Caenorhabditis elegans: one gene and its partners. The protein of the gene in region 2 purifies or fractionates together with the protein of the main gene of each other region. This does not show direct contact. Each region holds a gene or a part of one and is shown on either strand. Other genes may lie near its edges. The genes, in order: men-1, Y47G6A.22, K01A2.5 and etfb-1.

Evidence for each region.
Region 1: the proteins of Y47G6A.22 (region 2) and men-1 fractionate together in Caenorhabditis elegans (co-fractionation; one large-scale study listed by BioGRID). This does not show direct contact.
Region 3: the proteins of Y47G6A.22 (region 2) and K01A2.5 fractionate together in Caenorhabditis elegans (co-fractionation; one large-scale study listed by BioGRID). This does not show direct contact.
Region 4: the proteins of Y47G6A.22 (region 2) and etfb-1 fractionate together in Caenorhabditis elegans (co-fractionation; one large-scale study listed by BioGRID). This does not show direct contact.

Annotation. Positions count from the first base shown.
Region 1 is NC_003280.10:14,226,342-14,236,662, forward strand, and holds men-1 (Malic enzyme), read right to left. Parts: upstream 7,515-10,321; 5' UTR 7,463-7,514; coding exon 7,437-7,462; intron 5,936-7,436; coding exon 5,034-5,935; intron 4,027-5,033; coding exon 3,563-4,026; intron 2,330-3,562; coding exon 1,997-2,329; intron 388-1,996; coding exon 250-387; 3' UTR 36-249; downstream 1-35. Other genes in the region: jmjd-2 (Lysine-specific demethylase 4), read right to left, coding at 8,953-9,114.
Region 2 is NC_003279.8:3,557,830-3,565,615, reverse strand, and holds Y47G6A.22 (DeHydrogenases, Short chain), read left to right. Parts: upstream 1-2,764; 5' UTR 2,765-2,771; coding exon 2,772-2,793; intron 2,794-2,845; coding exon 2,846-3,078; intron 3,079-4,031; coding exon 4,032-4,211; intron 4,212-4,262; coding exon 4,263-4,369; intron 4,370-5,346; coding exon 5,347-5,410; intron 5,411-5,463; coding exon 5,464-5,622; 3' UTR 5,623-5,682; downstream 5,683-7,786. Other genes in the region: lpd-3 (Bridge-like lipid transfer protein family member 1 C-terminal domain-containing protein), read left to right, coding at 236-373; Y47G6A.33 (C6 domain-containing protein), read right to left, coding at 661-947, 1,477-1,528; Y47G6A.21 (DeHydrogenases, Short chain), read left to right, coding at 5,820-5,984, 6,588-6,680, 7,048-7,227, 7,285-7,391, 7,455-7,518.
Region 3 is NC_003280.10:298,956-305,166, reverse strand, and holds K01A2.5 (AB hydrolase-1 domain-containing protein), read right to left. Parts: upstream 2,763-6,211; 5' UTR 2,753-2,762; coding exon 2,471-2,752; intron 2,412-2,470; coding exon 2,258-2,411; intron 2,047-2,257; coding exon 1,935-2,046; intron 1,815-1,934; coding exon 1,565-1,814; 3' UTR 1,508-1,564; downstream 1-1,507. Other genes in the region: col-69 (Nematode cuticle collagen N-terminal domain-containing protein), read left to right, coding at 1-73, 360-983, 1,071-1,243; K01A2.6 (AMIN domain-containing protein), read right to left, coding at 4,400-4,501, 5,067-5,183; B0432.1 (Serpentine Receptor, class T), read right to left, coding at 5,432-5,602, 5,649-5,888, 5,935-6,084, 6,128-6,211.
Region 4 is NC_003279.8:2,416,486-2,423,402, forward strand, and holds etfb-1 (Electron transfer flavoprotein subunit beta), read right to left. Parts: upstream 3,869-6,917; 5' UTR 3,862-3,868; coding exon 3,814-3,861; intron 3,554-3,813; coding exon 3,086-3,553; intron 2,364-3,085; coding exon 2,112-2,363; 3' UTR 1,976-2,111; downstream 1-1,975. Other genes in the region: F23C8.13 (PDZ domain-containing protein), read left to right, coding at 697-1,089, 1,886-1,972; did-2 (Charged multivesicular body protein 1b), read right to left, coding at 4,477-4,953, 5,014-5,120, 5,179-5,212; F23C8.7 (Tyrosine-protein kinase), read right to left, coding at 5,920-6,114, 6,165-6,310, 6,358-6,736.

The DNA of each region.
Region 1 (10,321 bases), on a different chromosome or scaffold from region 2:
AAAAAAAAACTGGAAAAATGCCCTAACAAGCTAAATTTACATGTAAATTTATATAATTAAATTTTTGTATAATCTAAAAATCCATAGGATTATGCTATACACGTAGACATTAAGAACTTTGTGAAAAAAAAATGAATTTTTAGGGGTAAAAAGGTAAAATAGGGTGTATTTACGCGGGAAAGAGAGATGGAGAGAGAGACTAGAGAAAAATGCGAAAAAAATTGGGAAAAAAAACGATAAAATAAAAGATTATTCCTCGTCCATCGAGGTTCTTCTCAACACTGGAACCGGGAAACCGTGTTTCGAATCCTTGGCTGGCCATTCGTAAGTCTTATTGATCAGCTCATCATACTCAACACTGTACAGGTTCTGGCGAATGAACATTTCCTGGAAAAATTCAAATTTTTTATAAATTTAAAACTGAAAAAAAAGCACAAACTTTTAACCAATTTTACGAAATTTTTTAACAAATTTTTTGAGAAATTGCTAGTTAAAAATTAATTAAAAATTCTCAAAAAATCCCAAAATTTTTGACAATTTTTTAGGGGAAAATTGCGTTTTTTAACTTCTCATTTTCCTTTTTTTTGAGATTTTTTTCGGAAATTTCGGGTTAAAAATTGAAATTTCTCAAAAAATTCCAAAATATTTGAAAAATTTTAAGATTTTTGACAATTTTTAGGGGAAACTATTATTTTTAGAATCAATTTTTCACTTTTATTTCCAAGTTCAAGGTCAAAAAAATCGAAATTTTCAAAAAATTAAAATTTCCCAAAAAAAAAAAGAAGCAAAATTTCTCTTTAAAAAATTGAAATTTCCAGAAAAATCCGAAATTTCCCGAAATTTCCCGACATTTTCAACCCGAAATTCAGAATCAGCATACTTTAATTAACAATTTTCAGCTCATTTAAACGAAATATCGTAGAATCCGGTGCCAAGTACGCAAACACCGAAGCTCTGCGTACTTCTGAGGCTACAGTAACCCGGAAATTTTCAAAATTGAGCTAGAGACTCCAAAAAAAAGACGACTAGGGGCGAAATTTTACGAGGAACTCGAATTTTGCAGTGTCGATTAATCTGCGGCTCGTGTGTACTCCCCGAGGAGAAGTTTGCGTTGTTTTTGCAAGGAAATTCACGTTTTAGGCTAAAAGTAGTCCATTTTTGCTGATTTTTTGATTTTTAACGATTTAAATCACCTAATTTATTGATTTTTTAAAGTTTTTAGTGAAAATAAATGAATTTACTGCTGAAAATGCACTAGAAACCAGAAAAATCGTACTTTCACCGGAAAAAAACCTATGAAAATGAGCAATTCGAATAGTAAATTCGGAAATTCTCCTCGGGGAGTACACGAACCGCGTAAATCGACACACGGTCATATTTTTGCATTCGAAAAAAAATGTGAAAAATTATATTTTCAGCAGTTTTTTTCGGAAAAATCGTCAGAAATAAGTAGAATTTTTCAATTTTAGGCATAAAATTGTCTAAAAATCATTTTTGAAGGTATTTTTCAAAATTTTTTCATGTTTTTCAGCTAAAAATGCTTTTTTCCATGAAAAATTATTCTTTTCCTCGAGGAGTACACGACTCGCGTAAATCGGTACACGGCCATTTTTTGCATTAAAAAGTGAGGAAAATCAATTTTTTCGGGTGGGGAAAAGTCTTTTTTTGTCATTTTTAAAAATGTTTTTCATCCATTTTTCATGTTTTTTCAGCTTGAAATGCTAGGAAAATCGAAATTTTCCCGATTTTTTCCAAATTTCCACTCAAAAAATTGCTTTTCTCTCCGAGGAGTACACGATTCGCGTAAATCGACACATGGCCATTTTTTGCATTAAAAAGTGAGGAAAATCACTTTTTTTCGGGGAAAAGTTTTTTTTTTTGGTATTTTTCAACAGTTTTTCATGTTTTTTTCAGCAAAAAATGTCTAAAAATTGCAGGAAAATCGAAATTTTCCGACGTTTTTTTTTTTCAAATTTCCACTCAAAAACAACCGCACCATATCATCGGGTTTCGGGTGCAAAGTGGCCAAATCGTGTCGATAACAATACTCGCCAACTTCTACGGCAATTTTCACCGAAAGTTCTCGAATATCCTTCAGACGTGGATATACACGTGAATACGTGTTCAACGACTTCTCCGATACGGCTTCGGCGACCATACGGGCGGCCAGAAGGAACAGCTTGTCCGGAATGTTTTTGGTACGGAAGAGGACGGCTCCGAGAGCAACACCCGGGAAGATGTAGGCGTTGTTTCCCTGTCCTGGCTTATAGAGTTTTCCATTCATTTCGACATTTTCGAACGGGGATCCGGAGGCGAAGAGGACGGCTCCCTGCAAAAATTGGGTATTTTTGGAGGGAAAAATAACTGATTTTTCAGATTTTTCATTGAAAAATGATTTTTAAGATTAAAAATTGACATTTTTCCAAATTTTTCCATAGAAAATTAATTTTAATTCCATTTAAAATCATTTTTCCACGAAAGAGCTGAAAAATATAAATTTTTATTAAATTCTAAAATCATTTTTTCAACTAAAAATCTAAAAAGAATAAATTTTAAAATTGACATTTTCCACAATTTTCTTCGAAAAAATTAACTTACAATTGGAAGAAATTGTACCTTTTTAAAGATTTTTCTGTTAAAAAACAAAATTTAATTCAATTTAAAATCATTTTTCCGTAAAAAATCTGAAAAAACGACGCAACTTTAAATTATAAAATTGACTTCAATAAATTAAAAACTAAAACATTATTTTAAAATGATTTTTTTTTAATTAAAATTGGCATTTTCCAGATTTTTTAAAGAAAAATAAATTTAAAATATTCTCTTTGCCGTGGAAAATATTAATTTTCAATTAAAAAAGGTTAATTTTTGATTTATAAAGTCACTTTTTAAAAGGTAAATCTGAAAAAAAACGGTCAATTTTTGAATTTCAAAATAATTTTTCCATGAAAAATCAAGCGAAAATTGGCAAATTCTACATTTCTCAACTAAAAAAGTGCAGATTTTCTCCATATTTTTCCAGTTTTTTTTTCCAATTTTCGTTATTATTTTTATTACTATTTAAAAATTACTTTTTTCCCAGATTTTTCATTTAAAACCGCTCTAAATTCTAAAAATTGATATATATTTTAGATTTTAAAATTTAAATTTTCAGATTTCCAGATTTCTCTTTGAAAAGCGACTTTAAAATTACTATTTTTCAGGTTTTTCATTGAAAAATGGCTCTAAATTGTAAAAATTGAGATTTTTTAAGTTTTTTATTTGAAAAAAAAAACATTTTTTCATGGAAAATCTGAAAAAAAAACGGTTAATTTTTAACACAAAAAGTCCGGAAAATTATACATTTGGATTTAAAAATTTTTGATTTTTTTTCCATGAAAAAGCTGGAAAATAATAATTTTTAACTAACTTTTCATTGGAAAAATCTGAAAAACGGCGAATTTTTGAATTTAAAAATTCACTTTTCCATGAAAAATGCAGTAAATTCAGCTCAAAAAATCTGAAAAATTCAGATTTTCTCCATATTTTTCCAGTTTTTTCTCTAAATTTACATATCCCGTACATTTGTGCAGCGATAAGCCGTCTCCGCAGTGCATTCTGCTTTACTTGTAGGGTTGGACAGTGCAAAAATGATTGGCCTCGGGTTCAGCCGAGCCATTTCCTTAATAATATCCTCCGTAAATGCTCCAGCCACCGTAGATGCTCCGATGAGTGCTCCAGGCTTGACAGTCTTCACAACTTCCAGCAGATTCTTGGTATCCGGAAGATCTTTAGCGAATTTCACATGTCTCTCGCCAAGAGATTTACTACGAGACGTCGTGATGAGTCCTTCAATATCAACCATATAAATCCGACCGCAAGCTTCTTCCTCCGACAATCCCTCGTCCATCATCTGTCGGACACACATTTCGGCGACTCCGGTGGCGGCTCCACCGGCTCCGAGGAAGACGATCCGTTCCTGGGAGAGCTTCTTCTTGGTGATACGAGTTGAGGCGAGCAGGCCGGCGACGACGACAGCGGCGGTACCTGGAAATTTGCAAAAAAATTTTTTTTACAAAATTTATTTCTAACTATTTTTTAATTTTTTTTTTTAATCAAAAATTTCAAATCTGAAATCTGAAAACAAAAGAACTTTTAATTTTTAATTTTTAAAACTATTTTTTAAAGACCTTTTTTTTTTGTTTCCTATTTTATATTGAAAAAATCCAAATTTCCTGGGAAACTATTATTTTTAGAATCAATTTTTCACTTTTATTTCCAAGTTCAAGGTCAAAAAAATCGAAATTTTCAAAAAATTAAAATTTCCCAAAAAAAAAAAGAAGCAAAATTTCTCTTTAAAAAATTGAAATTTCCAGAAAAATCCGAAATTTCCCGAAATTTTCCGACATTTTCAACCCGAAATTCAGAATCAGCATACTTTAATTAACAATTTTCAGCTCATTTAAACGAAATATCGTAGAATCCGGTGCCAAGTACGCAAACACCGAAGCTCTGCGTACTTCTGAGGCTACAGTAACCCGGAAATTTTCAAAATTGAGCTAGAGACTCCAAAATAATTACATGGCTAGGGGTAAAGAAATTTTACGGAAAACTTTTACGGCGGAATTTTGCAGTTAAAATATAAAGTTATAAAGGAATATATCCCCTCAAATTTGCTTCACTATTTTTTTGAAACTCCAAAATTCGAGTTTCCCGTGAAACTTCACCCCGGGCTGTACTTTTTTTTTCGAGTTACTAGCTCAATTTTGAAAATATCCGGGTTACTGTAGCCCCGAAAGTACGCAGCGCTTCGGTGTTTGCGTACCAGACACCAGATTCTACGAGATTTCTTCGTCTAAATGAGCTGAAAATTGGCGCACAGGGCAATAAAAGTATGCTGATTCTGAATTTCATATTTGAAAACAGTGAAAATTCAGATTTTTTTTGAAAAATTTCGGCCAAAATGCAATTTTTTTTCTCAAATGTGCATTTTAAAGCCTTTTTCTCCGATTTTTTCGCTTTTTTTCCTCAATTTCCCCCCTGCCAAATTCTACCTTGAATATCATCATTAAACATGCAATATTCTCCCTTATACCGATCCAACAACCGATACGCATTCTGATTTCCAAAATCTTCAAATTGAATCAGCGTATCCCGTCCGAACCGCTTCGTGGCCGCCTTCATAAAATTATCGACGAGCGTATCGTATTCGGGACCTCTAACACGCTTTCTACGGAGCCCCGTGTAGAATGGATCGTTGAGCAGCTCGCTGTTATCAGTTCCCACGTCGAGAATCACCGGGAGACACCATTCCGGGCGAATCCCTGCGAGCGCAACGTAGAGTGCAAGTTTTCCAACGGGAATTCCGATTCCATAGGTTCCCAGGTCGCCGAGGCCGAGGATCCGCTCTCCGTCAGTGATCACAATTGCTCGGACGTTCTCTGTCGGCCAATTTGCAAGAATCTGATGGATTTTACTAATACTATTATCATTAATAGTAATGTAGAGACCCTTTGGGTTACGGTAGATGAATCCGAAATGCTGACAGGCTTGTCCTACGGTAGGAGTGTACACAATTGGCATGAGCTCCTTCACATTATCGCAGAGCACTCGGTAGTAGAGCTTCTCGTTACGATCCTGCAACGAGTCCAATTGAATGTACTTGGCAAGGTTGTCAGGTTGCTGGCGGAGTTTTGTGATGATACGGTAGGCTTGTTGCTCTTCGGTCATAAATGCGGGTGGCAGAAGCCCGTGAACTCCGAGATATTGACGTTCGTGGAGGGAAAAAGCCATTCCCTTATTGAGCCCGGGCGACTTGAGCAGGTCGATTCCTCGCTTCTGGGGTGTGGTGCGTTCCGGGCGGTAGAGCTTGTGAAGGGCCAGAGTTTTGGGATCGGAGAGATCCGGCTCGTTTTTGTCGCTCAGGCATCGTGTTGATGTGGAGAGACGGCGGATGCTGGAAATTTGGGGATTTTTGGTTTTTCATTGAAAAAAATGGCAAAAATTCAGATTTTCCCGGAGAAACCCATTTAAAATGACCGAAATTCAAATTTTTCGGAAAAAAAAATCCATAAATAATGGCTAAAAATTCAGATTTTCATGGAAAAAATTTATTTAAAATCGTTAAAATTCAGATTTTCCAGAAAAAAAACTATTTAAAATGGCTAAAAAGTAGATTTTCACGGAAAAATGTATTCGAAATGGCTGAAACTCAGATTTTTCTGGGAAAATGCCATTAAAACGGCTAAATTTCAAATTTTCCGGAAAAAAATCCATAAAAAATGACTAAATATTCAGATTTTCCCGGAAAAATCCATTTAAAAGGCTGAAAATCGGATTTTTTGGAAAAAATTTTTTTTAATGACTAAAACAGTAGATTTTCACGGAAAAAATGTATTTGAAATGGCTGAAACTCAAATTTTTTAAATATAAAAAATGGCTAAAAATCAAGCTTTCCCAGAAAAATCAATTAAAAACGGCTGAAATTCAGATTTTCTCCGAAAAAAATTCATGAAAAATGGCTAAAAATCGGATTTTCTCGGAAAAAATCCCTTAAAAACGGCTGTAATTCAGTTTTTTCCAAAAAAAAATCCATTGAAAATAGCGAAAATTCAGATTTCTCCTGGAAAAACTCATTCAAACGGCTCAAATTGAGACTTTTTCCCGGAAAAATACATTAAAAATAGCGAAAAATCTGTTTTTCCAGAAAAAAAACTATTTATAATGACTAAAACTCAGATTTTTCCGAAAAAAAATTGATTACAAATGGCTTAAAATCAGATTTTCCAGGAAAAAATGCATAAAAAATGGCGGAAAATTCATTTTAAAAATGTTGAAATTTTAGATTTTCCCGGAAAAAATCCATTAAAAATTGGCTGAAATTCAGATTTTTTCGGAAAAATCCACCAACTGCGGCTAAAAATCAGATTTTTCTGGAATAAAACCATAAAAAATGTCAAAAATTCATTCAAAATGCCAGAAATACAGACTTTTTCGGAAAAAAATCTAGTAAAATGGCTGAAATGCAGATTTTCCCGGAGAAAACCATTTAAAATGGCTGAAGTTCAGATTTTTTTAGAAAAAATAAATTTAAAATGATTAAAACTCAGATTTTCCAAGAAAAATTGGGCAAAATCGCAGAAAAATCGCAGAAATTGAAATTTTCATAGGTTTTTATCGAAAAAATCTACAAATTTTTTAAATACTCGTCAAAATTCGTAGACTTTTTCAACGAAAACCTGTAAAAATTTCAATTTCTGCAATTTCTCGCAGAAAAATCGATATTTTACGCATTTTTGCCGAGACCATCTGAATTTCACCCATTTTTCATAAATTTTTTCCGAGAAAAGCAGAATTTCAGCCGTTTTAAATGGATTTTTCCGGGAAAATCTGAATTTTTAGTCATTTTTAATACATTTCTCGAATTTCAGCTAATTTCAACGCAAAATCCTCCCTACCTGGCAGGCGAAAGACGGCTCAGCATTTTTCGTGATTCCCGCACGGTTGTGAAACCCAAGAGCAAATGAGAATTGATTCTGAAATGAGACGGAAAAATGTAAAATTTCGATAAAAACTTTTTTTTTTGAAACACGTGAAATAAAAACGGTGACAATTGATAAGAAAAATGAGTGCATTTTATCAATTTTTATTCAGAAAAAATTATGGAAAACCTGAAAATTCGGGAAAACTCGCGGTGAAACTGGAGAGACAATTGCCTGAGAAGCCACAAATGGGGGCGCCCGTCGTCTATCGATCCACGTATTCTTTCGGGATAAACTATGTGCGAGAGATCTGCACTCAGCGGAGAGACGCAGGGAGAAAAAGAAAACAAAAACACGGGCGGAACTCTTTTCTTGAAAAAATGAATTTTTATTTCAAAAAGTAAGATGGAAAATCGTTTTTCCTTCGAGTGGCGGCGAAATGAGTGCTTGGGGGAGCAAGTATGCGGTGAGAGGAGGGAAGAGGGAGAAAAAGCGAGAAAAATGATGTTTTCCCGTGTTTTTTTCTTGTTTATAGCGATATTTTTCGATCAAGGTGGCCTTGTCATCGAATTAGCCGTGATCTTTGGGGTTTTAATTGGAAGAAACAGATATTTTAATGCGATTTTTTGAATTTTCCACAAAAAATAAAGAAATTAGTTTATTTTTCCTCTCGAAAACCGACAAAAACTCAAGAAAATAACGAAAATCAATGAAAAAAATAAAGAAAAATTGTCGTCAAATGTGGCGCATTGGCCGCAAAGTACGCAGTTGCCGTGTCAATTCACCGGCGCCAATTCGAATTTTGAAAGGTTTTTTCATTAAAAAATAGCTTTTTAAAGAGAATTTCTGGATTTTGAACTGTTTTTTCATTAAAAATAGCTTTTTAAAGAGAATTTCTGGATTTTGAAAGGTTTTTTCATTAAAAAACAGCTTTGAAAAGAGAATTTCTGGATTTTGAAAGGTTTTTTCATTAAAAAACAGTTTTTTAAAGAGAATTTCTGGATTTTGAACGAGTTTTCCGGTTATTTTCAATATTTTCCCACTCCCAACGCAGCTGTCAGCTCAACACGTGTTCACAGGAAGTCAACAAATCGGATAAAGTGATCTTTGGCCAATTTTTCTGATTTTTCGACGGAATTATTTGATAAGAATGCGATTAGTGTGTTGGCATTTGGAAAAAAAAAGGTTTATTAGATAAATTGATCAATTTCGGGGAAAACATTTAAAAGTTTCTGCAAAATAATAGGGAAAAATAGCGAAAAATATTTAAATGACAAAAAAATACAGAAAAAAAACAGAAAAACAGGGATAATTAGAGATTCTTCGACTTTTCGTACAAAAAAAAACTGGGGGGAAAAGAGGCGCAGAGATCACATATTTGAGGGTAGACGGGCGGGAAAGAGAGAATATATTACATTTTGACAAGAATTTTTTGTCAGGGACTATTTAATAGTAAATTTTAAAAAATCGAATATTTATTTATTTATTAAAGCTATTTTTTGAGATACGCGTTCAGTTCTCGCTTCGTTTTCAGCCTGTTCCGTGGATGGCGGACTTCTCGGCCATCTTCCAGTCGGACCGTGTACTCGATCATCTGTCCTTTTCCACGGAAGTACGCGTCGTAGACTTGCTTGTCGTCCCACACTACTTTTACCTGCAAAACAAATTGGGGAATTTATTGATTTTTTTGGGGGTTTTTAGGACTTTTTTATAGTATTTCCGGGCTTTTTCTTTATTTATAATTTATTTAAAAAAACAGGAAAACCCATTAAAAATGACTAGAAGACTTGAGTTTTCCCTAGAAAAATCGTGATTTTAAAGGGGAAAATCTGAATTTCGGCTGTTTATAATGAATTTTTCCCGAAAAATCTGAAATATTCAGCTGAATTTTAGCTATTTAAAAACAATATTTTCGAAAAAAAAAATCGGATTATTAGCAATTTTAAACAGATTTTATCGGGAAAACCTGAATATGAGCCATTTTTAATACATTTTTACAATTTTTTTGTAAAAATCTGCACAATTTATAGTTTTTTTTTCGGTTTTGGCCTGAAAAACTATAAATAAGACGATTTGTGTGTTAAAATACCGAAAAGAATTGCCCGAAATTGAGGATTTTATCGAAAACCTTGTCCTCGAGGACTACACGAGCTCTTTAACTCCAAAATTCGAGTTCTCCGTGAAATTTCACCCCTGGCTGTACTTTTTTGGAGGCTTTAGCCCAATTTTGAAATTTTCTCGGTTACTGTAGCGCCAAAAGTACGCAACGCCGCGGTGTTTGCGTACCAGGCACCAGATTTGACGACATTTTGTTTAAATCAGCTGAAAATTGGTTCACAGGGCAATAAAATCACGCTGATTCTGAATTTCGTATTGAAAATGAGAAAAATTCGATTTTAAACACTAAAAATTGTATTTTCGGCGTTAAAAAATCGGAATTTTCCACATTTCGATTAATTTTCCAACATTTTTAATATGAAAATCAGAATCAGCATGATTTTTTAGCCCCGTACTTCATTTTTCAGCTCATTTAGACGAAATTCCGTAGAATCTGGTGCCAGGTACGCAAACACCAAGGCGCTGCGTACTTTCGGGGCTACAGTAACCCGGAATTGTGAAAATTGAGCTAGAGACTGCAAAAAAGTACAGCCAGGGGTGAAATTTCAAGAGGAACTCGAATTTTGCAGCAAAAATCATCGAAAATTTGAGGAAATTGACGATTTTTTTTGAAAATTTCAATTTCCTGGTGGAAAATCAATATTCCCCAGCATTTTTAATATAAAATTCAGAATCAGCGTACCTTTATTGCCCTGTGAATTAATTATGAGCCAATTTAGACGCAATTTCGTCAGATTTGGTGC
Region 2 (7,786 bases):
GAAAGATCCACGTAGTAAAAGATGAGGTAGTAAAAAAGTATTTTCCGTAGTAAAAGATCTATGTGGTCAAATGGTAGTAAAAGAGATCACGTAGTAAAAGAGCCAATTGTAGTAAAAGATCTAAATGCGGAATTCGTAGTAAAAGAGATCTTGTAGTAAAAGAGATACGTAGTAAAAGATCAAGTAGTAAAACAGTATCTGCCTCCAAATTTCAACAAAAAACCAAAATTTTCAGAGTCGAACGGACTCGATGGCACCGACACCAAAACGACGAGACAGCCGTCGTTCGAGCGAAGAAGTTTCCGTTTCAATCGATATTCCCGATATTATTACAGATATTTCCGACGCCTCGTTTAGACCGAAACACAATTAATTGATTTTTTTTTTCTCATGTATTTTCTAATTTTCTAGTCAACAATTATTGGCCAGCAGCTTCTTAATATTTTCTATTGCCTGATTTACGGTTTTTTTTAATTATTTATTTTTTTCCTCCAATTTCTGCTTCCACAAATATTTAAATGTACCAAATAATTTCCAATGAGCTTCTGTGATTTGTCTATTTTTATTTATTTTTTTCTGTGAATAATAATTCATTTGTACTAGTATTTATTAGTTTCATTTGATAAGTTTCCTAACAATTTTTGGATTATTTATATCTTATTACGAGGATCCACACGCAAACGCAGAAAGTGTCTGACTTTGTCCGGGCACACTGATCTTCCATTTCGATCCATCACACTTGATGCTTCCTTTTGATCCAACTTTACTCATTGGGGTCACGAATTCACGTCCCTGTTCATTGTAGTACCAAACATCAGAGCCAGCGGGGCATTTTATCGAATATTGATTGCCGGAGCCGGTTACAGCTTGAGAAAATGGAGCGAAATCGCAGAGGGGACAATTGACTCGGCGGGGGAGGTAGATGCTGGAAATGCCGGGGCAGCCACCTGGAAATTATTCAAATTATTCATTTAGGGCCGCATTTGCGCGTAAAATTTGATGCATTGGGTCAGTGAACTACGACAGTGCACCATGTTTGACGCGCAAATTCGAAAAAAAATTTAATTTTTGGGGAAATAAACAAATTCCCTGTACAAAATTGATATTTTTGAAAACACGTGGTGTCAGGCTGTCTCATTGCGGTTTGATAAACAAAAAATGCGGGAATATTTTTCCGGAAAAATTGTGACGTCAGTAGGCTCTTAACCAGGCGAAATAAGATGAGAAGTCTGCGTCTCTTCTCCCGCATTTTTTGAAGATCAAAACCCAAATAGGACATTCTGACTCCCCTTACGAAAATTCACTTTTCAAATAATCTGGCGAAAAGCAGAAAAATTCGTCAAATTTTAAAAACTATTTATAAAAAATCCTATTTTTTCATTAATCCCATTACACTTCTTTTTTTTAATGAATTGGGTGATTAAACATTATTCGAATTTTTTTTTGTTGAAAAATCAATAATCTCAAAAAACCCACCATAGACAGTGACGATCAGAATCGTAGCCAGTAGAACAATGATCTTGAACATTTCGCCGCTGACCTATCTATCAGTACTCAAACCCTAATTCTCAGCCTTAAATATCGTTACTGCTGTTTTTTTTTCGGCGACGAACGCTCACCCCGCCCCACACACAAAACTTCCTTCATCATGATTGATTAGTTTTTGAATTGAAACGGGAAAAAAAGACTGAACAAAGGGAAATATTATTGAGACGTAGAAAAATGCGCTTTTCACGGTGGTTCAGTTGCTAGATGGGTGCAAACGCACTCCACCGAACAAACGTGCATAACTTGGGCAGGAAGCACAAAATCGAAAATTCATCACAAATAAAGATAGGTATATTCATTGCGGTCATTTCTTATATGCATCGCAAAATCGATTTTGTGATGGTTTTCGAGATAGTAGCCAATATAGGTTTCCAGACTGACACGGACAACTGAAAAGGATCCGCCCCCAAACGTTGGGTCTCGTCAGGTATTGGCGAGACAACCGGGAATTTTTATGGTTTTTTGCCGATTTTACTAGTTTTATGTGTCGAAATTAAGGAAAATCAAATTAAATAACGGTTTTCCCTTTTAAATGCAATTTTAAAAACATAATTTCGATATAAAAATCTTGAAAAAACACGAAAAAATGCTTGAGAACAGGTGAAATCGGCAAAAAAGCGGTAATACCTAACGAGACCCAACGTTTGGGGGCGGAGCTTTTCCATTTGACCGTGGAGCGCGCTTGCACCTCGATTTCAAAAATCGCATTTTTCTGCATCAAAATTTTACGATTTTTTTCTCCATATCTCGACACGACAAATATTTGTTAAATACGAAAAGGTGTGCTCCTTTAAAGAGCACTGTAATTTCTCGTTTTGGAATTTTCATTGACACAGTACTCTTTGAAGGCGCACATCTTTTTACATTTAACATACATTTATCGCGACGAGACCAGGCACCGTAGCTTTGGCACAAAAATAGCAATTTTTTCAAATATCAACTACAGTAACCCACAGTTTGACATGGATTTTGAAATAAAAAAGTTTGCGCGTCAAATGTGATGCATTGAGTCATGTACCTAATGCACCACAGTTTACGCGCAAAAAAATTTGGAAAAGTTGAACTCCTGATGTGTGATGTGTTATCAGGAGCGGAGAAAACAAAATTTGTATTTTTCTCTGGGTCTCGTTTTTTTAGGATGCCGTTTATTATTTGTTTCAAAGATTTTTTTTTCAATTTTCAATTTTCAATTTTAATTTTAATTTTGATTTTGCAGGTCAACCATGCCCGTCGCAATTGTCACAGGTAATAATGACTCTAAATACTTGAAATTCCATTCCTCTCCCCTCTTTTCCAGGTGCAAGTTCTGGTATTGGACGTGCGGCGGCTCTTCTTCTCGCCCGGAACAACTACAAGCTCTCACTTACCGGACGGAATGTGGCGGCTCTCAATGAGCTCGCCGGGCAAATTGTCAGTGCTGGAAGTGATAAGAATGATGTACTGGTGACCGCTGTTGAGTTGGCTTCAGAAGAAGCTCCGAAGACTATTGTGGATGCGACTGTGCAAAAGTTTGGACGAATTGACACATTGGTGGGGGGTTATTTTTGGAAAGTTATAATAAAATTTAGAACTATTACGGGAACATAAAAATAAATAAAATTCTGAGAATTCGTACTGCACAACATATTTGACGCGCAAAATATCTCGCAGCGAAAACTACAGTAATTCTTTTAATGACTACTGTAGCTCTTGTGTCGATTTACGGGCTTGATTCTCATAATCAAGATAATAAAGCCCGTAAATCGACACAATCGCTACAGTAGTCATTTAAAGAATTACGGTAGTCTTCGCTACGAGATATTATGCGCGTCAAATGTGTTGCATTACGCATTTTCAGGATTTTGTGTTCCCGTTATAAAAAATTTTAGTTCAAAATTCTTTTTGAAAACGTAATAATTGCGAATTTTGTAAAAAAATGCACAGAAAATTATCCAAATGTGAAGTTTTGCGACTACTATTGCGTTACAAATACGGTATCTGGTCTCACCACGACTAATTTTTGCAACTTGTAAAAAGGTGCGCGCCTTTAAAGAGTACTGTATTTTCTTTTGTTTCTGCGGAATTTTCATCGAATTTTATACTTTTCGATAAAAAACTGTTTGAAAAATTAAAATTTATATATAAAAATCGAAGGAAAATTTGAAAAAATTCTGTAGTATATGCGAGTACTGTAGCTCAGTTTTGCACCCAAATTTAATTATTTTTTTTAAAATTAAAATTATTTTTGTCGCATTTCACATTAAGATTCAGAGATCTTAGAATTTTTATTTTTTAAAATTTTTTGAGAAAAAAGTTTGCGCGCTTTTTTAGATACTTTTTTTTTCGAATTTTCCAAATTTCTGCCTAAAGAGTTTTCTCATTTTTATTTTCGAGAAAAATTGCACCAACCTGTAAAAAGAAAATATGGGGATAACGAAAACATTTAAAAAAACTCTCCAACCGATTCTTGAATTATTAAACCCTTAAAATATTCTAAATTTCAGATCAATTCGGCCGGGATTCTGCGTGCCGGACCAGTTCTCGATTCTGGAATTGAAGTCTACGATGAGCTAATGAATGTGAATGTTCGTAGTTTGATCCGCCTGACACGTGCAGCTCTTCCACATATTATTACAACAAAAGGAACTGTTGTCAATGTCAGCAGTATTAATGGACCGTGCCCTGTATGATGTTATTTTTTTGTTGAAAATAATTTTCAAATTCGCAATTTTCAGTTCCCAAATGTAACCTATTACTGTATGTCCAAGTCGGCCGTAGATCAATTCACAAAATGTTTGGCTCTCGAAATGGCTCCGAATGGAGTTCGTGTTAATGCTGTTTGGTGAGTTTTCTCGCGATTTTTGCCAAAAAACTACGGTGCCAGGTCTCGAAGCGATCGATTCTCTTTAAGGAGTACTGTAATTACGATTTTTTCGGTTTTTAGGTTTTTTAAAGAAATATTCGAAAAATAAGAAAACATATACATTTCTTCCAAAAAGAAGAAAAATTGTCAAAATTTCAAGATATTTTGCGAAAAATCGGAAAAATATTTATTTTTGAAATCGAAAATATTTTTGGCTTTTTTTTTTTCGAAAAATCGAAAAATTATCGGAAAATATGAGTAAGAACGAAATCACAAAAAAAAACTAGGAAAATTTCCTGAAAATTCTAACTTTTTGCCGAATTTTCATAGGTTTTCTTGTTTTTGTTCAAATTTTGATGCATTTTTATATTTTTTGAATAAAAACGAATTTTTTAAAAGACAGGAGCTAAACTATGGAAAATTGCTTTAAAAATCTCGCAAAAACTAGGAGTAAGTAACTACAGTACACTACAGTACTCCTTTAAAGGCGCACGCACTTTTGAATTGAAAAAAAAAAGATCGCTTCGAGACCGGTTACCGTATTTTGGTGCAAAAATCGCTAACTTTCTCATTTTTTGTCGAATGAAACGCTAACAACACACGTATTACGGGAACACAAAATTTTGGGAATTCGTCTTACGCAACATATTTGACGCGCAAAATATCAAAACTACAGTAATCCTTTAACTGACTACTGTACTGCTTGTGTCGATTTACGGGCTCGATTTTGGAAATTAATTTATTTTCTTCGTTTCTTCGTATTATTTTCTCATTTTCAATAATCTTTTGATAAATAAAAAAACCCGTAAATCGGCACAAGTGCAACAGTAGTCATTTAAAGAATTACTGTAGTTTTGATATTTTGCGCGTCACATATGATGCGCAATACGCATTCTCAAAATATTGTGTTCCCTTAATAAACCCATATAAATTTGTCATTTCTCCAAAAATTTCAGCCCAGGGGTCACCGTGACCAACCTGCATCGTACATCTGGTCAAGACGAGACAACATATTCTGCGGTATAAAACCTGCTGCACTGACCTTGACAAATAAATATCATCATTTCTTTCAGTTCTTGGAACGTAGTAAAACGACACACGCACTCGGCCGTCCCGGTGATGCCAATGAAGTTGCTGAGGCAATCTATTTCCTCGCCTCTGAGAAAAGTTCATTCACTACTGGAGAACTTCTTCGTGTTGACGGAGGCCGCGGAATCATGCATCCGAGATAAATATTAGCTTTTTTGTCTCATATTGAGATTGTTTTGAACTTTTATCATGTAATAAATAGAGAGATACATGTATTTTTTTTAATTGTGTTTTTATTGAATCCTTTATAGTGGTTTTTTCCTTGCTTAATTTTTTTTTTTTTTGAAAAAAAATCGATTTTTTTTTGATTCAGTTTTGAATTTATTCAGAGTATCCGAAAATGCCAGTCGCCATCATCACCGGAGCAAGTTCGGGAATCGGAAAAGGCACGGCTCTTCTGTTCGCGAAAAAAAAGTACCAACTCTCGCTGACCGGAAGAAATACGGATTCTTTGAAGGAAGTCGCAGCACTATGTATTTCAGAGGGTGCAATTTCGGCTGATGATGTGAGTTTTATATTTTAGGAACTGTGACGGAAAGTACAGTATTACGGGAACACAGAATTCTGAGATTGCGTATTGCGCAACATATTTGACGCGCAAAATATCTCGTAGCGAAAACTACAGTAATCCTTCAAATTACTACTGTAACTCTGGTGTCGTAAATCAACACAAGCGCTACAGTAGTCATTTAAAGAATTACTGTAGTTTTGATATTTTGCGCGTCAATTATGTTGTGCATTACGCATTCTCAGAATTTTGTGTTCTCATGATAGCAGTTATCACAAAAAAATTTCGATTTTTTTTCCTCGTTTGTAATTTTTGGAAACACCGTTTTTTTGTCGAAAAAACAAAAAAAATTATTTTTTTAATTAAAAAAAACCGCCGCCATGGTCTTGACACATACAAAAAAAAATATTAAAACTCATCGAATATCAAGAAGTATACTAAAAATCATTAAAAATTACAAACACTTGCAGGTACTGTAGCTATGAATTTTATTATGTCGTTTCGAGACCAAAAATCGCAAAATTTTGCAAAAAAAGGGGATTGAACGTTTTTAGGTGGAAAAAATAGCGACATCAATTAAAAAATCGATTTTCATTCCAGATTCTGATAACTGCAGTGGAGCTGAGCTCTGATGAGGCGCCCAAAGCAATTGTGGATGCAACTGTACAAAAATTCGGAAGAATTGACTCATTGGTGAGGATATTCAGTTCGAAACAATTTGAAACTATCGAGAGAAAAGTTTTTCGGAAATTTAGAGTTTATCCATTTATTATTTACAAAATTTTCAGAAACGCGTACATAGAGGATCACGGATTTATTCGGTTGGGTCTTGCCACGAAAAATGTTTTTGCGCGGTGAGACCCAACTAGATAATTGCGTGCGCCTTTAAGTTCGTATCCCAGGAACAATTGCGGAACTACAATAGGTTTTTTTTCAATTTTATGAAGTCAATACTATTCAAAATTTAAACTTGAAAAATAAAAAACTTCACTTTTCCAGGATCCATAGTTTTTTTTTCGAGAAATTTCCCATTCTACCCTTAAAATATTCTAAATTTCAGATCAATTCGGCCGGGATTCTGCGTGCCGGACCAGTTCTCGATTCTGGAATTGAAGTCTACGATGAGCTAATGAATGTGAATGTTCGTAGTTTGATCCGCCTGACACGTGCAGCTCTTCCACATATTATTACAACAAAAGGAACTGTTGTCAATGTCAGCAGTATTAATGGACCGTGCCCTGTATGATTTTTCTTTTGGAAATTAAAAAAAAATATATTTCGAATTCGCAATTTTCAGTTCGCTGGGGTCACATATTACTGTATGTCCAAATCGGCCGTAGATCAATTCACAAAATGTTTGGCTCTGGAAATGGCTCCGAATGGAGTTCGTGTTAATGCTGTTTGGTGAGATTTAAATATTTTCATATTAAGAGCCCAAAAATTGAGAATAATTAAAATAAATTTCAGCCCAGGAGTCATTGTAACCAACATTCATCGAGCATCTGGGCAGGATGAAGCTACATATGCGGCAGTAAGTCTATTCTAACGACACGCAAGAAGTAATGGGCGGAGTCGGAAGCGCAACTCCGCCGCACGATTCTATTTTAATTAAAATTTTAACTGTTTTTTTAAAATATTCACAGCAAGATCAAATAATTAAAGTAATTCTAAAGCAAGATTTCGATTATTCAACCTGACAAATTAAGATAAATTGATTGTTTGATTTTTAAAAATGCGGAAAAATAGACGAAAAACAGTGCGGCGGAGTTGCATTTTCAACTCCGCCCATTATTCCTTGC
Region 3 (6,211 bases), on a different chromosome or scaffold from region 2:
GTGAATTCGTATGCAAGAGTGAATAGTTATGCGACTGCACCCGTTTTACAGCATCCAACACAACAGCAATGCAGTTAGTTTTTTTTCTTCAAAAAATAACATCCATTTTGCGGGCGGAGCTTGGATTCTGTGAGAATTTTCGTTTAAAAAATGGGAAAGCTCGTTCAGCAAGATACATTTGTGAGCGGAGCCTAATATCCATTTTTTGGGCGGAGTTTGGTCACAATTTGACTATTTGAACATCTTGTATCTCTTTTTTTAGAAGAAAATTATAATTTTATAGAATTTTGCGAAAAACGGAAAAGATAAAAGGGCAAAAACTAAAAACGAGACTACAAACTACAAAATTCAATTTTCAGATTGTGCCCCACAAGCCAACAATTGTCCACCAGGACCACAAGGCCCCACTGGTTACCCTGGAGCTCCTGGAGAACCGGGCTCTCGGGGTCTCGATGGACGTCCAGGAGCCAATGGTGTAACCCTTATAGCTTACGATCAAGAGATTCCAGGTTGCATACAATGTCCCCAGGGTCCACAAGGTCCTCCTGGTGCCGTTGGGCCTTGTGGACCTTCTGGAATTCCCGGGCTCCCAGGGAATCCCGGATACACCTCTCCTCCAGGACTTCCTGGGCCACCGGGGCCTTGTGGTGAAGCTGGACGGGAAGGTCCCAATGGTACACCAGGCCTTAAGGGAGAGCCTGGAAATAACTCGATCCGTCAGATATCCCTACCAGGCCGTAAAGGCCCTCCAGGACTTCCTGGTCAATGCGGACCACCAGGGCCACCTGGATATACACCGCCTCCAGGACCACCAGGAACACCTGGAGTTCAGGGAGAAGCTGGACAGGATGGAGAACCAGGGGTACCTGGAGTTACTGGCTATCCAGGAGTTCGTGGGCCACCGGGGCAGGATGCTGAATATTGTCCGTGTCCACCAAAGAACGCAGGAGTCAATCGGAATAGTTATGTGCAGCCGGCACCAGGTAGGCTACTTTTTTCCATTAAGTAGGCGGGGCTGATATTACGGCCTAAAAAAACTCAAATTTCAAATTTCAACATATTTTTTACAGTGTCCACAAGCTACGCCACAGCATCCCAAAGCCGTTACGTGTCAGAGTACAATAAAGAGGATGAGTACAGGAAACGAGTGCTGGCTCGAGTGCTCAAGAAGCAGAGACGACTACTTTTGGCGACAAGAGCAAAGAATGTTCGCCGGAAGCCTGTTAGTCACGCTAGTCCGTAATTATTTTTATTTTTGTGAAATAAATTTGTATAAACTTTTTCACGGACGTTTCCAGAAAGTATACTGTCCCAAAAATTTTAATTGGGCTTCGCATGGGCCCCGCCCACAAGGCTCGGACAGAAACCCTTTGTGAACGGGAAGATTTTTTTTCTGGAAATTTTAGAATTTTTTCTGAAATTTTCTTTTGGCAAAATTCCTAATGAAATCAGTCATTTTGTGGGTGGAGCTTATGAGTGTAATAGCGAAATTGCTTGAGACCAGGACGAATTTTTTATAAACTTTATTCTTCACAAAATACAAAATACAAATTTCATATATTTATCATTTCTTCTCCGTGCTCTTCAAGAATTCCAGAACCTTTCCGGAAAACCATTTGGGATATTTCAAATAAAAATCGTGTCCTCCTTGTGCATGAATCTCAACTTTTGCCAAACTCTTGAGCACTGGGATGAAGCATACATTCGGGTCACCACAGAACCGGTCCAATCCACCATTCATCACTAGTGTCGGGCATTTGACTTGTGGAAGTACCAGGTCACACGGGAAACGGCCACCGCAGAACGAGTGAACTCTGAAAATTCGTTTGGTTAGGTAGGAAGCAGACGTAGGTCGCCTTGAAGGTAGTTGGCAGACATATTTGTGCCTACAGGAATATACACAACTTCGCATAAGCCCCGCCCACAAAACTCACTGATCTACGACGTCACAAAGTGCCGCCCATTGTGTCCGGAGTGTTTCCGGCGAATAATGGTCCAAATATGGTTGACGACCGGCTGCTAGCCAATGATTTGTTTCACGCATTCCTGAAATTCCAAAAATTAATTTATAAAGAGCACAAAACCAATAGATGGCCACACCCATAAAATGGACGTTCGATTTATTTTCCCATAAAAAATCTTGTAGGTAGGTAGGCATAAATTGCTGCTTCTATGTGGAAAAATGGGCCATATTGGTGTCAAATTAAGAAATTTCATTAAAAAACAGTAATCTTCCAAATATATCTAAATATCTCACCCTTGAAAGCCATGGCTCCTAGATGATTAACTTTTGTTGCACCAGCCATTACAATCATTCGATTCACTTTTTCCTTTCCTTTAGCTGCCACGTGGACCGTTGTTCTAGCACCTTCTGACCACCCCATCACGGTGAACGGCTCTAGTTTCAGGGTCTAAAATTTGGAGGCTTTTTGAAAACGTAAAAATTTTAATTTCAAAATTAAAAGCTCACCTCCATTAACCCTAGGCAATATTCACTATCCTTCATACATCTCTGAACTTCTTGTTTTCGCTCTGGAGGTCTTGAGGTACCGTAACCTGGAGGATCAATCCCAACAATTGTGACCTGATCTGGTGGGAAATGAGAGAGCAATTTGAGTGGCCAATCTTTTTTATAGCAGCCGACAGCACCGCAAATCGCGAGAATGTAGTTCGGACCGTGGCCGTATTTACAGTAACCGATTTGAGTGTCCTTGATGTGTTCCGAACTTTCGATATAGTCGCTTTGAGTCATTTTTCTTTTGCTGAAATTTATTTAGGTGTTTAATTTGTTAATTATGAGGTAGCGACGGTGAGGAAATTTTCCGGATAATATAAATGTTTGAGACACCTTTGTGACCTTTGAGACCGCACACCTTTGAAGTACATCTCCCCGATTTCTTCTATCCTAGAAAGAGACGTAACAAGGGTCAAGGTTCAAATGTATTGCTAAGAGAACGCCTCTTGTGGTGTGGTAGTACTACAGTATTTACAACCTACTAGTACAGTAGGTCGTATATATTGTTATTGTCGATGATTTACAACCACCGGATTGACCTAGAATTAACATAGGTATTTGAAATCGGTTTAGGCCAAATAATTATGGTTCCGCGACATTTATAGAATTCGGAATTTTCTGAAGAGCGAGAACATGTATTGTGAACCTCTACAATATTTAAATACAGAAATGTAGAGTACAAAACATTGTTTTTTGATCGACTTCCAGAATTATGATACGTGAAAACTGATAGTGAATATTAAATTATTCGAAAATCGGACACATGGAATTATTGATCTCAAAAATTCGGTGAAATAGGCTAAAGAGGAAGGAAAACCAAAGAGGAAATTTTAAAAGTGCATGTATTTGAATGACGAATAGTTCTACGAAAAAGATTTTGAAAGTCCGATAGGAATGAGAAATTTGTAGCCTACAGATTAAGATTTCAGAAGGAATTTGGACAAGACCGGATTAATTTTGTGCCTGTAAGCTGCGGAAAGTTCTAGAACCATCTGGAAAATACGAGAAAGTTTTGGAATGTTCTAAAACCTTCTGAAAAATTAGATAGAATTCCGGAATGTTCTAGAACTATCTGGAAAATACGAGAAAATTTTGGAAGGTTCTGGAACCTTCAGAATAATTCGAGAAAATTTTGGAAGATTCTAGAAAGGTAATAAAAATTATTAAAAAAAACATAACCACTAAAACACCGAAACATCTAGTTATTTGTAATATAAATGTGTAGTTTCTAATAAAAAGGAACTATGAAACAGTAAAGTAAACCTTTTGATTTATACTGGGAGAGTATGCAGATTTCAATCTAGGATATGAGGGTAAATAGGGAATAACAGGTGAAAGTGTACAAACGCAGTCGGAGGAAGATGTTGTTAAGATGAAAGAAGAAGGAGAAGAACACAGGCACTTGGACACACAGAGGGAAATAAATGGGAAATGAAAGGGAAAAGGGATATGGAAGAGACAGAAAATTGTTCCTATTGTCTGAAGGTATTGTATAAAACCGCAAAGAGGAAATTGATGATCGAATCATGTGATTTTGCGGGGAGTGCTGAAAGCATTTTTTTCAGATTTGTCAAGCTTGGGTCTTTGATCTTTTAGGACAACACAGTTTTACACATCTGGAACAATGCGGCTTCACCCATGTTGTCGAACACAAATAAATTTTTATGAACCAAATTTAATCAATAAAACTTGAAAATTACAATATTAGAGAAAAACTTGAAGACGATTTTCTCATTTTCCAGTATTCCCTTGTTTCCGTGTCAATGTCCAAGACTCCACTTCCACTGGATCTCCAAGCGGCTCCCATTGATCCGTGAGCTGTCCTTGTCGATCTCTGAATACTCTAGCTCGTCTTAGGATTCTTCTATATACTGTCGCAGGGTACTATGTGTCGCAGTGTTCATTGGGGTCCTGCCGGTTGACAACTTGCACAGGGACTCTATCAAAGTTTTGATCATGAAATACAGGTAGTTGTTGCGCTGTTCCCTGGAAGATTGGATTGATTGAACAATTTTTTTAGCATCACCTTTTTAAAATATCAGTTTTTAACTGGTCGGTTAAAAAATCCATATATGCCTGCCACCCGATATCATCATTTTAGGTGACTAGCGGGCCTATGGGCCCGCCAGCCCTTCGGGAATGGGGATAGGGTTAATTCGCTCTAAGTTATTAGCAAGGTAGCTGGCGCAGGTTCTCGGCTTTGCCTCGAACCTGTTAACGGGTTATTCGAGATCTCTTTGAAATTATTTCAGGAGTGGGGTATATGTTTAGAAAACTTGACTATTCAGGTTTGAGGCTTCGCCTCGAAGCTCTTACTGTGTAAATTGAAATCTCTTTAAACTTTGATTCATTGCTCCAGGACCGACACTGTACGAATAACTTAGGCTGAGATTTTGTTCAAGAATAATTAGAATGTATTCAATAAAATAAGTGAACAAAAATTAGGAACAGAACCGTTTTGAATGTCATGATGTATAGGTTCCTTAAGAATAAAATATAATTGTTTCAAACTGACGGGTTAATAATGTTTTAATTCCCTTAATCCACTTACCAGATCGACTTCAAGAATCCTCCTGGAAACAATTCTCGACTCTCCGGACAAAATCACAGTTGGTACATTTTGACAAAAAGCATAGGAAATAAGTAAAACGATTCCCAGAAGAATCATAGCAGCGAAACTGAATGAGGAACTTGTTGTCAAACGATAATAAGCTTATCAGTTCGTAGACTAATGATAAGACTAACATGCTAACTGGTAGGCAGTTGCAAAACATCTAGAGGTGCTTTCCATTTGCTTGCAGGAATCGTCATTCTTGGTTTTTGGATTGTATGCTTTATTATTATTAATGTTGTAACTTAAATAAATAAACGATCAAATAAATAGAATTTCACAGAAATTATAACATCAAAATCCTTTCAATACTTTGCGGACACATTGAGCACCGGGATGGTGTTAGAGGTGCCGTTTCGAATGGAAATTTCCATTACTTGGCACATGAAATTCGAGAGATCACGGCGGACACGTGGTGTGAAGAGGAAGATGAAGATTGCATTGGAGACGGTTAGCATGTAGAAGACGACGAAGAACTGGAAAAAAAAGTTTGTAAGGGGGCTGCGAGCAGACTTAGGTTACCCATTCATGCATGAATATGATGATTCCCCAGGTGATAGTGAATGCCTCGAAGAGCTCGTACATAAGCATCCAGAATTGGAAAAAGGAGTGGATGATGATGAAGTAGAGCAGGGTATGATCATTTTTGTGGTATCGCTCATTTCTTGGAAACTCTCGGATTCGGAAACTTGTCATGAAAATGTAGACGTAGGTGATAGTTAGGAAAATTATAAGCCAGGCAATGATGATATATCTTTGGATCTGGAAACTCCACACATTTTTAGAAAAAAAATCTTGCAACACTTACAATTCCCATGTAAGCAGGTTCAGTTGAATATTTCCATGCACTTCCATCCCAACTCCAAACTCTGTGGCAAACCATTGAGGGGATTGAGCAGACTGCAGCTCCAACAGTGGACAATGACAAGATTAATTTAATGTTTCTTTTGGAGAATGACTGAAAGTTTTGAAATTGTATGAACTTCAGATCTTCAACATACGTTATGGAACGTGATGAAGGTTGCAAAGTATCTATTGACTGCCATAATAGCACCACCAGCGATGTTCAGTAGGTAGAGGACACA
Region 4 (6,917 bases), 1.1 Mb from region 2:
AAGAGTACTGTAGTTTCAAACTTTTGTGGGATTTTTATCGATTTTTTTTTATTTAAAAAACTGAATTCAATTTTTAAAATGTTTGTTAAATAAAAATGGATGCGCGCCTTTAAAGAGTACTGTAATTTCAAACTTTCGTTGCTATGAAATTTGCATCGATTTTTTCGTAGTTTTTATGTTTTGTTTTATTTCTTTTTTTAAATAAATAAATATATTTTTATCGAAAAACTACGAAAAATCTATTTAAAAAATTCCATAGCAGCGAAAGTTCGAAATTACAGTACCCTTTAAAGGCGCTCACCCGTTTATATTTAACAAAAAATTTTAAAATCGAATTCAGTAATTTTTTAATTAAAAAAATCGATTTTTAACGAAACACTATGAGAAATCAAAAAAAATCCCACAAAACTTTGAAGCTACAGTACTCTTTAAAGGCGCACAATAGGGGAAAAATTATTATACACATATGTGCATAATCGCGGCAAGACCCAAGAAAAAAGAAGAAGAAAAAGCCAATTTAGTGAGCACTTGAATGAGTAATAGGGCTCGCTCAAGTCCGATGAGCCGCGGGTACACATAATTGGATGGCCGCTACTTTTTCTTTTCTTTTTTTCTTGAGCTCAACATGCTTAGCTGCACTCATAATTCAGTTAGGGGTCACTTTTTTTTTCGAAAAAAATTCTAAAAAACTTCCAGAGCACACATCTTCGAGAAGGCGATCGTCTACTCCGGTGCAACAAGATCTCACTTCGCGCCGTTTCCGTAGATCAGGCGGCGAGCATCTTCCGATTCTGGATGTCCCGCTCCGATTCGCTGACTCTGTTGATCGAACGAAGATCCGACGGTGAGAGTGTGATGATGCGGCGTCGGCGGCAGGCGAGGCTCTCAATGTGCAATGAGCAGCGGGAGCAGACACGACACGTCGTTTCAGGGCGAGCCACGTTACGGATGACGTCATCAAGGTCGGCAGAGGTATTCCGGTGTGGGGACTCGACGTCGTTCCGCATGAAATCTCCGAAATACGAGTCATTCAACACATCATCGCCCTCAAAATCCATATGTCCCCAGTGCAATTCTCAGACTAGAATGGTAAGTTTTTCTTTTTTTTTTTCATTCCAAAAATTCCAATATTACGGGAACTTAAAAATTCTTAGAATGCGTATTTCGCAACATATTTGACGTGCAAAATATGAAAATATCTCGTAACGAAAACTACAGTAATTCTTTGAATGACTACTGTAGCACTTGTGTCGATTTACGAAAATGATTTTTTGTTTGAAAAACGAAGAAAAATTGAATATCTTTGTCACTATTCGAAATGAAATTCATTTCAATATTCGAGCCCGTAAATCGGCCTACAGTAGTCATTTAAAGAATTACTGTAGTTTTCGCTACGAGATATTTTCATATTTTGCGCGTCAAATATGCTGCGCTGTACGCATTCTCAGAATGTGTGAGTTTCCGTAATACTATAAAGTGCAATTGCGCTCCACGGACAAATCTCCACCCCAAACCGTTGGGTCTCGTTAGGAATTGGCGGGAAAACCGTTTTTGCCAATTTTCCAGCATTTTTCGCTGTTTTCAATGAGTTTTTTTTTGTCAAAATTGAAAAAGTTAATGTCATAATCATTTTTAACCATAATTTCGGCATAAAAACATAAAAAATAACGAAAAATGCTTGAAAACGGGTAAAATCGTCGGAAGTAATCGTTATTTCGACCTAAAACTTATAAAAAATATGAAAAAAAGCTTAAAAATTGGCAAGAATAATGTAAAACATTTGAATTTCCCGTCTTGCCGCCAAATATTTACCTAACGAGACCCATCGTTTAGGGGCGGGGCGCGTAATTTTTCGCGCCCAGATAATAATCCGTAATATTTCCAGATCTACCTACACCAATTCTCCCATGGTTTTGTGAACAATGCATTCCGTTTTTTGATCGTTTCCCGTTCAAGCTATTCACTTTTATGAACAAAAATAATTTTTCATACTTTTTTAAACCTGCATCACATAAAACATTGAATAGAAAAAATAATAAAAATAATTTAAATACAAAATTTTCTGATTCGACTACTACAATAATTCAGCGGCGGAAGAGGTTATCGGGGGCTTAAGCCTTGACGAATCCCTTCTCCTTGAGCTTGGCGACAAGTGCCGAGACATCGTCGACGAATCCTCCGGCCTGGCGAACTGGTGGCTCGGTGACTTCAAGAGTTTCAGTTTGTGGTGTGATATCTACATTCAGATCTTTGATTGGAATGTTCTTCAGTGGCTTCTTCTTGGCCTTCATGATGTTTGGAAGAGTCGCGTAGCGGGGCTCGTTGAGGCGAAGATCGGCGGATAGGACGAATGGCACTTTGACCTGGAAAATAGAAAATTTTTCGAATAAAACTTTAGATCCGTGAATTTTGCAAACAAAATAGCGGCGCGCAGAAATAGGGGCGGGGCGTTATTTTGCAACCTTGCGGCACGGTTTTTCCTCCTTTTTTCGCTTTTTCAATTTTTCATGTTTTAATCTCCTTTTTTTTCGAATAAGAACGTTATTTAATTAACTATCAAAATTTATTAATCGATCCTTGAATTTTGCAAGAAATTTTGTCGCCCAGAAAGTGGGGCGGGGCATAGCTTTTGCAACACTGCCGCACGGGGTTTGCCTCCGCCCCTTTTCTACTGCTTTTAAGCTTTTCTTGTTGATTTTTTCAATAATTTCTTTTTTTTTCGAATGAAAATCCAATTCGAAAAAAAAGAGAAAAATCGAAACTTTATTGAAAAAATCAACAAAAAAAGCAGTGGAAAAGGGGCGGAGACAAACCCCGTGCGGCAGTGTTGCGTAAGCTACGCTCCGCCCCACTTTCTGTGCGACAAATTTTTGCAAAATTTAAGGATCGATTAATAAATTTTGATTTTAAATTAAATAACGTTCTCATTCGAAAAAAGAGATTAAAACATGAAAAATTGAAAAAATCAAACAAAAAACAAGCGGAAAAAGGAAAAACCGTGCCGCAGGGTTGCAATATCAAGCCCCGTCTCGCGTTCTGTGCGGGGCTGCTTTTCACGGCTATCGATCGATATAGTAAGAATCACCTTAATCGTGTCAAGACCTCCATCAATTTCACGGGTGACCTTCATGTGTCCAGCGCCTGCGTCTTCAACCTTCGACGCGTAGAGAGCCTGTGGCCACTCGAGCAGGCCAGCGAGAATCGGAGCAGTTTGCGACGAATCATCATCGATTGCCTGCTTTCCGAGAAAAACCGCGTCGAACTTCTCCTGCTCGACAATCTTCTGAAGCGCCTTCGCCACGTGGAATGACTCGAGCTTGCCAGCTTCGGCGTCGGTCACCTGAACGTGAACTGCCTTGTCGGCGCCCTTCGCCAACGCGGTCCGGAGCACTTCGGCGGATTTTGGTCCGCCGAGCGAGAACGCGACGACTTCGGTGGCGAGCTTCTTCTCCTTGAGCTTGACGGCCTCCTCTAAAGCGATCTCGTCGAATGGATTCATGCTGTGTTGAACTCCTTCGGTGACGACTCCCGAGCGGTCCGGCTTGACACGGATCTGGAAATTTTGGGCTTTTATAGAATCGAAATGTGTCTAAAATCTCCAATTTATCCAAGTTTTCCGTGTCACAGCGGTTGGAAATCAGCTTTTATTGCCAATTTTAATCGATTTTCCGTTGATTGGGGTACACTTTGAGCCAAAAATGACAAAAAACTGATTTCCAACTGCTGCGACACGGAAAAGTTGGTGAAATTCAAGATTTTCGCCGAAATTAAGCTGTTTTTTCGAATTTTTTGCTCTTTTTCCTGAAATCCTACCTTGACAGCATAGTCGACAACTCTCTTGACTCCGACGAGAATCTTCATCGCTTGGCTGGAAGAAAAACTGGGAATAAATTTATTTATTTATTAATAAATGAAGAAATGATCGAAAAAAACAGCGGCGGCGGGGTCAAAGTACACACTTCAGAGTTCAGAATTTGATTTTTAAATTTGAATCAATTAATTAAAGCCGAAATTCGAAATTTTAGCCGAAAAATGTTTAAAATAGCTTTAAAACTGCCACGTTTTTCCTTAAAAACCTTCGAAAATTCCGTTTTTTATAGAAAATTCGTGAAAAATAAGAATAAAAATAATAAAACAAGTGATGAGAGAGATAAGACGATGTGGAGAGAGAGTGTGGGAAGACGAGAGACGCAGAGAATGAAACGCGGGCGGTGATTGTTGTGGCCTACACGTAAGCGACCGATTTGTAGAAAAAATGTTCTGAAAAATAAAAGAATAAATATTTCGAAGAAGACATGAGCTGAACTTCGTAGATCTAGATAGATTAGATAAAACAAAAAAAAAGCAGAAAAATTGTTGCTTCATTATTGAGAGAAATGTTGTATATACAAGAAAAAAAGCAGTATCTTAATTTTAAAAATGAAACCGTCAGCAGAATATTCATATTCACAGAAATTTCTTGAGAAATCTGGAAGATCACATGTTGCGAAGAGCAGCCAGGCGTTCTGTGAGGTCCTTGTCTTCTGAAACAGCTTGCGTCCCGGTCGGCAGAGCAGTTGGCACGTTTGACGGAAGCTCCTGGTTGAGCTCGATGCCTGCCTTGTCGGCGGCCTCTGCAATCAGAGCATCCACCTGTGACTTCGGAGCATTCAACACTGTCGTTCCGTCCATCGTCTTTTCCATCGTCTTTGTGGTCACGTCGAGATCTTCGAAATCTCTTTCGAATCTATCCATCAACTGTTGAACTTTCTCGAGATTCATGCTCTTCATGGCGCTTTCCATGGCTTTCACTACGCCGCTCATGCTGGCGGTTACTCGTTTTTGTGTGGCGGCGGTTTGAACTCGGGCGGCCACTGCGTCGATTCTGGCGGCCATTTTAATGTAGTTCACTGCTTCATTCTTCTTCCTGATCGCATTTTCAGCATGAACCTGTGCGACTTCTTTGTTTCCTTTCTGGAAAAAATCGAATTTAAAAAATAATTGTTTTTTTTTTCATTTTTAATTATTTTTTACCTTAATAGCTGCCGTCAGCTTGTCTTTCTCGACCTTTTCATCCTTCTCGCATCGTTGAGCATTCTTTTCCAACTGTTTCGCTGCGAATTTAAGATCAAATAAGTGTTCTGGAAGATAAAAACATGAAAATAAGTCAAAATCAAGAGAAATCAATTTGAAACTCACTTTCCAAGGCCATACTGCTTTCTCCGGCTCCCATGATGATTTTATGTGTATTAAGCTGGTATTTGAGTTTCTGAAATACGAGAATTACGGTGAGAAAGTGCTTTTATAAGTTAAATTTCGCAAGAAAGCGATAAAAACAAATTCATGAGTCATGTGTGTGTATCTGCGGACTTTACGTCATAAACGACGACACTTGATGTCCGCAAGCAGCGGATCTTACGACAATTTTGGGTTGTAGAAATTTCTGTATTTTAAGTCGGTTTCAGGCTATAAAACACAAAATTATCAACGTCAAAAATATTTCCAGATCCGCTATATGAATTTGAAAAAATTAACATCGTAATTTCACCGATAGATAAAATCGCACAAAAATAAACTACCATAAACTTTTTTGCGTGCCAAGACCAATCTGAATAAATCTGTGCGCCTTTCTTTGAAAATTACTGTAATTATCGACTTTTCGTAGTTTTTTTGTAAAAAAAATTGAATTTATTCATCAATAAACTAACAAAAAACAGTATATGTTTTAACAAATCAAAAGAAATAAAAAAATTGAAGAAAATACCGCAATTTTTAAATTACAGTACTCTTTAAAGGCGCACACCTTCACGCATTTAACAAACAATTGTCGTTTCGAGACCAGGTACCGTATTCTTCTCTCGAATTCTCAGGGTAATAAAACAATTTTATTAACATCTCAAGTCAAAACTATCAAAACTTTATTTCCGAACAAATCAAAGATCACTTCGGCTTCTTCTTGTTGTTTCTCTTCACCGAGAACATTGGCGGCTTCATCGTCTTCATCTCCTCCTCGGTCGAGCGATTGCTCGATAGAATCGATAGAACCACTGGCTTCATCCCAAAAGTTGTCTGAAGATAGCGCAGAACATCCGCCATGCTCACACGATCCGCCGGATTTTCAGCCCAGCAGTGCTTCTGAAAAATGAGAAATTAGTAATTAGCTATAATTTCAGATTCAAACCAACCGTGACATAGTCGCCGAATCTGAAGTCCACAAAGACCGGATCAAACCGCATGCGGTATCCATTACGGACCTTTCCGACGACGTCAGCAACTCTCATGTCTGGGTACGGCTCCTTCCCATTCTCAGTGATCTCCCAAGCCATTATTCCTGAAAAAATGTCTATTTTATTTGAAAATGTTATTGGAAAGACTAACCGAACGCAAACACATCAGTCTTCGGACTATAAATCCCCGCTTTCAACGTCTCCGGAGCCAACCAACGAATCGGAACCTTCTTCGTCAGGTCCATGACATACGAGATTCCCTCACGGGATAACCCAAAATCCGCAATCTTGACCTGACCACCTCCATACAGGCAATTTCTCGCCGCAATGTCTCGATGTAGAAGTTTCTTCTCGTGCATATACGAGATTCCACACGCTGCTTGGTAGATCATCTCCATCTTCTTGTCGGGCACCAAATTCGGATTCTTCTGAAGGTACGAGTCCAGGGCTCCACAATCCGCCAACTCCATGATGACGTACAGCGGCTCCTGGCTTGCACCAACTCCGTAGAATTTAACGACATTTGGATGCTGCAAAAAAATTAAATTTTTGGGCGAAATCGAAATTTAAAAGGAGTTTTCGAGTTTTTCAGAAAAAATAACTCAAAATTTCTTCTATTTTTCAATTTTTCACAAGATTTCAGTGAGAAATCATTGCGTTTTCATGTAACCTGGGTCCCACCACGACTGTAAAATTTTTCTCAGTTACCGT